Arabidopsis thaliana: one gene and its partners. The protein of the gene in region 3 purifies or fractionates together with the protein of the main gene of each other region. This does not show direct contact. Each region holds a gene or a part of one and is shown on either strand. Other genes may lie near its edges.

What was found.
Region 1: the proteins of BI1 (region 3) and HAP6 purify together in Arabidopsis thaliana (affinity purification with western blotting, with the first as the bait; one study listed by BioGRID). This does not show direct contact.
Region 2: the proteins of BI1 (region 3) and PHB2 purify together in Arabidopsis thaliana (affinity purification with western blotting, with the first as the bait; one study listed by BioGRID). This does not show direct contact.

What each region holds. Positions count from the first base shown.
Region 1 is NC_003075.7:11,276,418-11,280,170, reverse strand, and holds the start of HAP6 (ribophorin II (RPN2) family protein), read right to left. Parts: upstream 1,743-3,753; 5' UTR 1,633-1,742; intron 1,541-1,632; exon of another isoform or gene 1,528-1,540; 5' UTR 1,526-1,527; coding exon 1,380-1,525; intron 1,245-1,379; coding exon 1,052-1,244; intron 973-1,051; coding exon 883-972; intron 643-882; coding exon 580-642; intron 372-579; coding exon 302-371; intron 152-301; coding exon 87-151; intron 1-86. Other genes in the region: AT4G21140 (copper ion-binding protein), read left to right, coding at 1,949-2,680.
Region 2 is NC_003070.9:980,032-983,784, forward strand, and holds the start of PHB2 (prohibitin 2), read right to left. Parts: upstream 1,972-3,753; 5' UTR 1,742-1,971; exon of another isoform or gene 1,532-1,741; intron 1,130-1,531; 5' UTR 1,127-1,129; coding exon 956-1,126; exon of another isoform or gene 864-955; coding exon 747-863; intron 325-746; coding exon 154-324; intron 73-153; coding exon 1-72. Other genes in the region: FLA9 (FASCICLIN-like arabinoogalactan 9), read right to left, coding at 2,594-3,337. UniProt on the Arabidopsis thaliana protein: Prohibitin probably acts as a holdase/unfoldase for the stabilization of newly synthesized mitochondrial proteins.
Region 3 is NC_003076.8:19,134,268-19,138,020, reverse strand, and holds the start of BI1 (BAX inhibitor 1), read right to left. Parts: upstream 2,070-3,753; 5' UTR 1,951-2,069; coding exon 1,837-1,950; intron 1,440-1,836; coding exon 1,296-1,439; intron 1,198-1,295; coding exon 1,106-1,197; intron 1,006-1,105; coding exon 819-1,005; intron 727-818; coding exon 571-726; intron 487-570; coding exon 436-486; 3' UTR 1-435. Other genes in the region: LIL3:2 (Chlorophyll A-B binding family protein), read left to right, coding at 2,783-3,167, 3,326-3,463, 3,550-3,753. UniProt on the Arabidopsis thaliana protein: Suppressor of apoptosis. Modulator of endoplasmic reticulum stress-mediated programmed cell death. Involved in methyl jasmonate-induced leaf senescence through regulating cytoplasmic calcium level.

The DNA of each region.
Region 1 (3,753 bases), on a different chromosome or scaffold from region 3:
TCACTAAACCAACATATCGTAGTGATATCTCATCAAAATATATTCTCAGGAAATCAGAAGTATAGTGGATTAAACATCTCACTTACCAAAGATGGATCAAACTCTGAAGGTGCTAATGAAATCACTCCAGCAAGCGTTTCATAGGCTAAGCCTGAGAAAAAAAATCGCATGTTGAGAAGAATGAGTGAAATAACAAAGAGCAAAAGAAGTGAACAAGCTGAAGCAAGAAAGGAAGGGATACATAATCTAAAAGGCTCATCATTAACGTTAGGTAAGGGTTAATCCAATATGTACTACTAACCAGCAGCAAAAGTGCTTGATTCGGGATTGTTGGAGCTGTAGCGCCATCTTCCATCACTCTGGCTAAGAGACTGATACAAATGCACTATATCAGCCAAATAATACCCGGAAAACAATCTAAGTAGTATTAATATAGTAACTGAGTTTTGGTAACATATCGAAAATATATATATACTTCTACCAGAGTCTATAATTGATAGTCCAAAAAGACAGTGTATGAATGTCACATCTGATAGTTCAACAACAACAAAATTGAAGGTCAGCTAAACAAGTTCAAACCTTGATGGAACGGAAAATGGCTTCGGCATCTCCAAGACTTATATGAGTTCCAGGAAATTGCTCCTGCATTCATGGAACAGTGAGGTCAAACTTGAAGCCAGGAAAAAGAAAAGTCAGGAAGCCAAAGCTATGGAGTTGAATAAAATAAAATAATCACGATCACAGGTACCTTCTGCCAAAACATTTTCATACTTCAACATAATGCACGAAAAACTAAGAAAACTCTCCTAGAAATACTCTATGGAAAAAGGGTGTAGTCAATCTCACTCAAGATGTCCACCAAAAGTTTTAACTCGTATTTACCTTAGCCAGCACCAAGCCTCTGACAGAATAATAGAAATCAAGCAATAGCTTCGCATCTTTAACACCAGCTTGAAGTTGAGAAACAATGTCCTTCAAAAGAGGAAAAGATAAGGTTATTTTAGCCGCTTAATAGTTAAAATTATGATACTGAGAGGAGACAATTGTTTACCTTAGGACCAGCTTCACCAATTTTACATTTTAGAATCCCATTAACGTTTAACGCATAAAATGCATCCTTAAGAGTAGAAGAAGACGACTGAAGAACTTTAACCACATTCTCACAAGTCTTTGAGCTAAGATCAGACTTTTTATCAATTCCAAGAATCTCCAAAGTCTTTAATGCTTCATATGCCTCCTCCAAGCTGATAGTAATAAAAATCAGATTAGTCCGTACAAAAACCATTCATGAACATTAACGAGCAACCAATATGTAATCGGTGAAATGTGGTTAAAACCCCTACATCAAAGCAATGCCGACTTAAGATAGAGAAACCAACCTTTTGTATGATCCATCGACTGGTACGAAGACATCCAGAGCCGCAGATCGGTGAGAGTCTGAGATCGGCTGGAAAACAGAAGCAGCACCGCAAATTGCTACGGCGAGTATCAAAACCAGAAACCGTACGTTACCTCCGGCCATCATCACTGCATAAGAAAACTCAAAAAAACAGATAAACTCATCCAAATCAATACAATTACACATCTACGACGGATGGATTCCAAAATCAACCGAAGATTTAAGCTTCTTACAGATCGGAAGTAGATCCGTATAGTCGAAGAAGCGGATCAGAGGTCGACGAGTCTCAGTAGTCAACGGAGACTGAGGTTTGAGGTAAGCCTAGGATCGATCTATAGCTTTTGAACCAGACGACGAACCAGAGAGAAGGCTAAAAAATGAGTGTGAGTTTGATGACACTACCTGATATTACCGATTTACCCTCGATTTGAACTTAAATTACACTTCATGAAACGACGGCGTACCTTGAAACCCTAAACCTTGCAGATCAACTTCAATCACCATTTTCATTTCAAACAGAGAGAGCTCTGAGGAAATCAGAATCTGAAAATGATCAGATTCGCGAGACCAAAACCTATAATTGACTCAGTGAGTTACAATCTTCTCCAGAAATGTTACGCTAGTGGAACCCCCAAAGGAAAATCGAAGCTGAAGACAGGCCAATCATTGAAACGCAACAAACTCACAATCAAAAAAGGCGGTGGAAACGGCGGTGGCAGAGGTGGTGATGAGGTGGATAAGGGAAAAGGAAGAATCTCAGATCAATGCATAAACGCTCCTTGTCCTGTTCGTTACCTGAGACCTAAGGAAAGAGAGCGAGAAGCGAGACGAGAGAAGCTAGGGCTAATCAGTAAAGCGAGGCAAAAAGAGATTGATTTTCAGAAGAAAGGTGGATCCTTTACGATGGGAGTTACTACTGCGCCGATGAGGATTGGGACTCCAGGATTGGATTACATTTCGTTAGGGATTTTTACGGAAGATGAGTTACCAAAGTATAAGGTTACAGTGGAGGATGGGATTAGACTTGCGAAAGAGTATAGTAGAGTGCTTATGAGAGAGCATAGAGCGAGACGTGTAGCGGAGATTAGTTTGATGAAGATGAGGAACGCTGCGGTTGAGGCATTGCCGGAGAATTTGAAGAAGGCGGCTTTAGTGCGTGATTTGACTCCGTTTCCGGTGAGTCGAGGTACGGCTACGCTTACTCCACCTATTGAAGGGTATTTGGAGAGGATTATGAATGCTGCGGCTAGGAAGAGCTCTGGTAAAGAGAAGTTGAGATGATCTTGTTAAGGTTAGAGGAATTTGTCTTTGCGTCATTGGTTTTCTCTTGTTTTATTAGTTGTGTTGATTGGATTTCGATCAATGGATATAACTTTGAGACATTTGTCTTTATTTTTGTGATCTACTTGAAATAAAATGGTCACTGGCAGTTGCTACTATATGATAGAATATTAGTTGAAGCTTGAAAGTTTAATCTTTTTCTACTTTATATTGTTTCATATCGGCCTTCTGAGAGGTGAAGTTGTCTAGGATGTAAATGGAATCTTGTTAAACCTCTTTTGTATCTCTTTCCTTGATCGTGTTTGCCTGTTTGCATACTTCTTTCAAATCTTCATTTTTCAGTATTATGTGTATGAACACTGTACACTCATACATTTAGGATTTGTCTCTTCATATATTCTAACCTTTAGGAAGGCCACTGGGTCATGATCAGCTCAAACTTGGTATAACTTTTTATCCTTACCAAAACCATATTCCTAGATAAGAACTGCAGACTATCTTGGAATCTACAGTTCTGCACCAAGATTACAACTGTTTAATCAATATGGGAGTTGAGGTTTGTCCTCTGTGAGCTTTGTGTTGGAAGTTCAGCAGAATGTTATGTAGGAAAGGATGTCCTGCATCTGCTTGTGCTTCTTCATTCAAATGCATAGTTTCTGGGTATTTTCTTCAAGCTCTCCATATCATTTTCTGCATCTTGTTACCCGGTCCAGTAGAGTGCAATGGCAAGAGTCCTAAAGCTACAAAGACCACGATTCTCCAAGGATCATCATAGTTTGAAAGCTGAGGTAGCTAGTCTAGAGAGAATCGTAGTCATTAGACTTCATCTAGGGACCTCTTGGCTTCTATGTTTCCTTAGTTCACTAGCTATTTTTGTAGACCTATTGAGTCCAAATCTCTGGTAAAATAATCAAGTTTGTGTATCTGAGTTCTTAAACCACAAATTTTTATCAATTCTAGTATTCTTTAGGATCTTTTGAATACCACTAAAACAAAGTTCCTCTATGCGTAAAGATCAGATTGTATATGTTGTTTGATCAATAAAACAAGACTTTTAAGCATAAAGCAGGAAT
Region 2 (3,753 bases), on a different chromosome or scaffold from region 3:
GACATCATCAAGAGCAATGTCAAAGTTAGAAGCCCGCTCTGTCAGAATCTTGCGTATCTCTCTGCTCACAGCCTAGAGGAGAGAGTAAACAGAGTCCACCATTAGAAACAAAAGAGCAGAAAAGTTGTAGAAAAAGAATGTTGAGATACGTACTTCTCTCTGGGTAATGAGCTGGCTTGCATTGTACTGAGCTACCACTGCTTTTAGGGTTTCATGGATGATGGAAGGAAGAACCCTTTCGCTGTAGTTCTCGCCAAGGGTTCGGTAAATCTGAGGCAAACGGTCACCCATGGGACGTGTGAGAACCCTTAATCCAATTTTCACCTGTGCAACACCCAAGAAAAATATCAGAAACACAGCAACTCCTTTAAGAAAGAAAATGGAGACTAAGTTCTTTCTTGCTCTACCTAAGTCTACTGAAAGCAAGTGTAACTTGTCTCTTGTTTTTCCACTTATCCATACACTCACACAGTTCATATAAGGATCAACATTGATCGTGTAATATCCTAAAAGAGTAAGTGATATTTAATCTACAGCTCCATAACCTCAAACCACACCCAAAATTTTCTAAAACATGCTCTTAATGCTGCATTGAAGGGTCTTAACATAACGTCAAAAGAAGGAATATCTAGTATGATCTATATAGCACCACATTCAGTAACATCATTTAAAATTAAATCCCTGGGCTAAATATTGTACAAACACACACAGAAAAGAAGCCAAAAGAAGAAGAAACCAAAACGCACCATCTGAAGATCATGACTACCAGTGGTGCTCTCTACAAGGTAAGGTCGTGCACGAACGTCATAGATGATTGGCCTTTCAAACCATGGCACCATAAAATGTGTGCCTTCTGGGTACACCTGAAAACACAAATCCAAGTAAAAGTAACGCTTTCTTAGAATTCAAAGCCTCAGATATAAAAGTACATCTTGTTAGTTTGAGAAATACAAACCTTTTCCTTGATACCAGTTAATCGGTTGAACATGACAGCACGGTGTCCTCCATCGACATTGTAGAGACTATTAGTAAGGGCATAGACACCGAGCCCACCAATAACGCTGACCTTAAGAAGGGCAGAGAGAGCAGGAGCTCCAGGAATGTTGGGAACTTTGTTGAAACTCATTTCCTGATAGCAAAACAGAATTCAAACCGCAATGAGATACCCAGGAGAAACAGTTCACAGCTAAGAACTTTATATGTAGCAAACTAAAACGCCGCAGGGATAAATTCGTTTGTCAGCAGATTAAAAACATCATTATACGAAGATCCAAAGGACTTAACACCGCATAAGAAATCACACACATAGAACAATCAATGCACAAGCCTCCATTTCAGAAGAAACAAAAAATCCAAGAGAGCAAACAAAGAAGTAGTGTTACTAAGAGAATCAATTGACATGGCAAAAACTGGAGAGAAAAACGAATTCGAAAAGATCGCATAGAAAAGCGTCAGAAATTGAAAGCATCGGTAGCAGATCCCAAGGCTAAAATCGATCAAGCCTTTGAACATTATCAACTAGATACAGTACCCATAGATCGTCGAATATATATGACGAGCAAGTCAACAAGCTTTCAACAAGAAAAGATCCACGAGATTTCACCAAATGATCATTCCAACTCTAAATCACACAAGGATTAGCAAATTGACCGACGATCAGGCACTGTGTGACTATCGACAACCAAACAGAGCATACAACGAAACACAGTGAAAACTGGGAGGAAAAAGCAGATAGATAAACCTGAGCTCAGCTCTTAATCGACGGCGATGGTAGGATTTATGAAAGATCACGATCGGAGCTGCCGGCGAAGCTTAGGGTTTTAGAAATGAGAAATCGGTCAGATATGCATTGGCAAACTACCTTCTAGTATGTTCGTGCCTATTTGCTTAGGCCCATTACTTTCAAATATGGTTCATTAAACACATTATCTTTTTCGAGAGGCCCATTTTAGGCATTTAGTTATGTTTTTGTTTTCCGTCCTCAAGTGTTTGACAAATTTTAAAGACATTGCTCAGGCCCATTATTTTAAAATATGTTTCACTAAGCCCATTATCACATGGGCTAAGGACGATGAATTATAATTTAATGGCAACTGGGTAGTTATTATCATGTTTATTTTAAAGCGTGTTACAGTAAAACGATTATCTGAACACTTTATTATTATGAATACTATCTATACTGCTGGTCAGAATTAAATAATACTACTAATCTATGTCTAGTAATCGCATGTGATGGCTAGTTTTTCGGATCGGCTACCGATCCTTCGATCCATTTTTCACGTAGCTAGAGTTAAAATGTCGTGAATGGAACTTGCAATTAAAACAGAAAACAAATAAGCATCTCATCAATTGTATACGTACTTTAGTAATTAAGTTAACAAAATATTTTGTTCACATCACAAATTTGTTGTTTTGGGTTCGCCAAGAAAAGAGTTATCCACTTCGACAGGCACAATTGACAACTATAGACGACGTATGTTATTAAAAATCTCACATTTTATTTCACGGAACTTAATCAACAAATTTCATATTTATACCTCACATCGCAGGATAAAATCAATAGAAAGCAAAACAAATCTTTGCTATTAAATTTTCAAAAGAGAAATTTCAAACATAAGACAATAAGTCCAAGACCAAACCCTAGTCCGACTTTCTTCTCACCGGAGCCTGACTTATCCGACGGTGACGCTGCCTTCTTAGTGGAGCCGGAGTCATCGGTAACCCCACCGGATTTAGATTTAGGGGCAGGAGCAATCGGCGAAAGCTTGTGCTCTCCGAACATCTCACCGGGCAACAAAACCATGTCGACAACATAAACTGCGAGAGGACGTTGTTGCCTCAACGAATTGCTAATACGTGTCTCCACATAACCAGTAGAGACATTGATTTGGTTTGTTTGGCCGGTGAAGTTAAGCCCGTAAACACCGTTGTCTCGGCCAGAAGCTTGAGTCCTAACCGGGTTACTCACGGAGAGGAGATCATCCATACTGTAATATTTGGGGCTAACGTGGTAGAGAATGAGTTTAACTTGATCGTCAGGGCTTAACTGGTTTAGGGTTCCGGGTTTAAGGTTTTGAAAAGCATTGTCTGTTGGTGCGAACACCGTCATACCTTCGGATGAACTATTGACTTGAATGTTCACTTGACTACCGACTTGAGTGATGTTTAGAAGATGGATGAAAGTAGTGAATTGACCACCTTTTTCGAGGATCGCAGTGAGGTTGATGGGACCAGCAGGCTCTGGAGCGGGGGCTGCCGGCTGAGCCGTTGCCTTGGTTGCGAGTAGTACGGCTGCGATGAGGAGGAGAGGAGCTAGAGTTAGACGAGTGGTAGCCATTATTGGTTTGCTTAGTTAAAGTGTGAAGAGTGATTTGGAAAGTGAGATCGGAAGGGAATGGTTTATATGGAAGTTGAATGTTTGGAGTGATGAGTTGTATCTTGTTGGAATGAGATGGCCAAGTCAATACAAAACGTTTGTAGACAAATAATGTCTAGACTAGAGATATATCATTAACATAAATGTTGTGTAGATGAATTCATATACGAATATATCAGCCGTTAAGATTCGTTTAGTATTTAAAATTAGCATATGAGAAAAATATTAGATTAGAATATGAGGTTGGTGGAACCGTAGGTAGAGCCCACATCACATGTAATGGGATCGAGAGAGTCAATAATTTACATAAAATATGTGTGGAAGATAATGTTCGACAACACAACTTACGGTGTAAGGTGGACGTAAATCGGGATAGG
Region 3 (3,753 bases):
CAAAAGGCTAAACGCCATTTATTTGCAATTTTCAAATCCACGTTTCACGAGAATGCAGGTTTTTACACACTTATCATGGAAATTGCAAGTTATTTTTCGATTACAACTTCCAAGCAATAGCAAATGTTGCAACTGTGAGAATCTGAAATGCACACATTTTAGAAAATTTAAACAGGATTATCATTTTCCTACATTATTCTTAGCTTGGTAAGATGCAATCAGTAGAACCAAACTCTTAAAGAACAAAAGTTTATGAAAAGAAGAACAACACTCGAGTCATTTACAATCTGAAGATGGTACTTGTGCAGAAGTGAAACAAGCAGATCCTTTTTAGTGGAAACATGTCTGGTCACCAATAGAGAGTGCTAACAAGTAATATCTTCAAAGTGGCCACACACGATAACAACCATAAAGTTAAATTTACTTTACATCCCCTCAGTTTCTCCTTTTCTTCTTCTTCTCTTCTTTATCTGCTGAGTTCTTCAACTGCATAACAAAAGAGTCCGTCAATGACGGTTTACTAACAAATAAAGTGTACCATTTTCTTATACCAGCGACAAATGAACTTACCATTATGATGAGAATCCGAACAAACACAGCTACAAAGTCAGTGAAAAGGGTCAACGAATGTTTTACATAGTCCATGTCACCGAGGTGTGCCTTTTCTATAATCTCTTGTGTGTCCACCACCATGTATCCCACAAAGATCAAAAGTCCAAAGTACAACTGCAACCAGAGACGTATTCATAACAATGGTGAGATGTCTGAGAAAGTAAGACAAAGAACAGATCATTCTAAAACAGAGGCATTCGGTTTACCTCAAACTTAAAGATAGATGCAGAGCCACCAAAGATTGAAGAGGCAAACTGGAGCCACATTAGCATAGACAAGCCAGATGAAAGCAGTCCTCCAAGGTAGAGATACTCCCTGCGTCTTGCTAACATTGCTGCTGCTGAGAAACAGACAAACGCTATCGCAGTTCCAACAAATGCAGTGATAAGGATGCTGGAGAACCAAAAGAAAGATATAAAGGTCAGCTCCTAGAATAGTCTAACAGAAAATTAACATTGAACAACAAGAATCAAATTGCATAACCATAACACACCTTGGGTCAACATCAATTGCCACTTTGATCAAGGGGCCAACAGAAGCACCTTCAAGAACAGCAGACACAAACAGAAGAGAAAGCCTTTTTTGCTGCATCAAAACAAACAACAATGTCAGGAAAACGAAACTTTAGTACAATAAGAAAGCAGCCAATTCACTATTGGGTTGGGTAAATCGAGCCCACGTACGTGTTCATAAGGAGGACATGAAAGGAGCCAAATCATAGTTCCAATACATCCAATCGTTGTAAGAATACCGCCGATATTCCAGAGCACATGGAGGTAAGCTCCAAAGGCAGACGCCACAAGAGCACAACATAAGGTCAAATAAACCTACAAAGATTCCACCACAAATAATAAGAACCAATGAGCATTTGTAACATGAGTGAGTATACAAATCACATTCCCTTCTGCAAATGGAACATGACAAATGAACAAGAGGATCTTAACAATAATAAGCAGAGTAAAGTATAACGAAAGATCTCCACAGAATCATAATCAAGTAAGTATCAACAAACTAAATCATGGAAAGACCCAATTAGAAACCCTAGATAAAGTACGATCGCAACGATTCGTTCAACGGAAACCAAATCATAGAAATTAGATGAAATATAGAAACATAGAGCGATCAATAGCACGAAAACGAAACGAATCTCAATCTATCGACTCTAATCTAGACATCGCGGTTTGGTGTGTGATATGAATAGACATCGGCGGCGAAGAAACTTACCCGTTTAAGATGATTCTGAACGGCTGGAGAAATCTGACGGAAGTTTTTAAGAGAATCATAGCTCCAGCTTCTGCTACCAGGTTGAGAATCGAAGAAGGAAGAGAACGCATCCATTGTTTCGTTTTTTTTGCTTGACTTTGAGAATCGATTAATGAAAATATTAGTTAGAAAATAAAGACTTTCGTTATTTATAATGGGCCTTATGATTGGGGACTAAATTGACAATAATACCCTTACTGCTTATGTGTAGTTATTACGCATTCGCTACACGTGTAGGGGCATTAAACACGGAGAAGGGTAGTTCTGGAAACTTCTTGAACGTTGAGATCGTCGTCGTCGTAATGAGTTGAAACTTTGCCGCGAAGCAAATGAAATATCTAAATCGTCATCTAACCAATAAGAATCATCCACGTGGATTTTTCACTTAGTTTACATATTATTGTTTAAGCTTAGGAATAAATTTGTTTTAGTTTTGTGATAAAGTATTTTGGATAACAGTATTTATTAATTTACAAAGACTTTTCTATAATCTTTCTCTATTATTTTCAGTTGCATCAAAAGTTTAACAAACTAATAAAGAAAAGACCAAGGACATTTTCATATCGTCTAGTCAATTCGTAAATCATGGGTCGAGAGTATGGTTAAATGTCAGGTTTTGAATTCTAGTTCTATATGGGCTGATCGCAAAGCCCATTAACAGTCTCGTTTATCTTTCTATTTTTGCTTACAGAAAACATCACGTAGTTTCTTCCTTAAACTGAATTAAAAAAGGAAAACGACATACAATCCAAGTTTCTAACGATAACAACATCTCTTTCACTTCCTTCATAGCTCATTTCAAACCACACATTCAAACTAACTCTGCAAAAAAAAAAAAAACTCAGAGCAGAGGAGATCGAGAGAGACAAAGAGAGAGAGAGAGAGAGAGAGAGATCTTAACAAAAAAATGTCTATATCCATGGCGTTATTCTCTCCGCCGATCTCTTCCTCACTTCAGAACCCTAATCTCATCCCCAAGATCTCAACCTCTCTTCTCTCCACCAAGCGTTTCTCTCTAATCTCCGTCCCTAGAGCTTCCTCCGACAATGGTACGACTTCCCCCGTCGTGGAGATTCCGAAGCCTGCTTCTGTGGCTGTAGAGGAAGTTCCAGTTAAATCTCCAGCCGAAAGCTCCTCCGCTTCTGAAAACGGCGCCGTTGGAGGTGAAGCGACTGATTCGAGTACTGAGACGGTAATCAAATATCAGAATGCGAAGTGGGTTAATGGAACTTGGGATCTGAAACAGTTCGAGAAAGATGGCAAAACTGATTGGGATTCTGTTATCGTTTCTGGTTAGATCCTTTTAAAACTTCAGTTCAGTACAGATTCTTTGAATACTTGATATATGTCTATGCTTTGTTATTAGGAAGATTCTGCTTTGGTTTCTTATAGTGGTGTGTAAGAAGAGGAGTGTTTGTTGTGTAAATGTGTTGATTATGTATTTTTATAGAGGCAAAGAGGAGAAAATGGCTTGAAGATAACCCGGAAACAACGAGTAACGACGAGCTTGTTGTCTTCGATACTTCGATTATTCCATGGTGGGCATGGATGAAGAGATACCATCTACCTGAAGCTGAACTTCTCAATGGTGATTTTCAAAACACTTATGATCTAACACTTAGATATAGTACACTTAACATTTTGTGCATCTAAGTTGTTGTCTTGGTGGTGTAGGTCGTGCTGCGATGATAGGGTTCTTCATGGCTTACTTTGTTGATAGTCTTACCGGAGTAGGACTTGTTGATCAAATGGGAAATTTCTTCTGCAAAACACTCTTGTTTGTGGCTGTAGCTGGAGTTCTCTTCATCCGTAAGAATGAAGATTTAGACAAACTTAAGGATCTGTTCGATGAGACTACGTTATATGACAAACAATGGC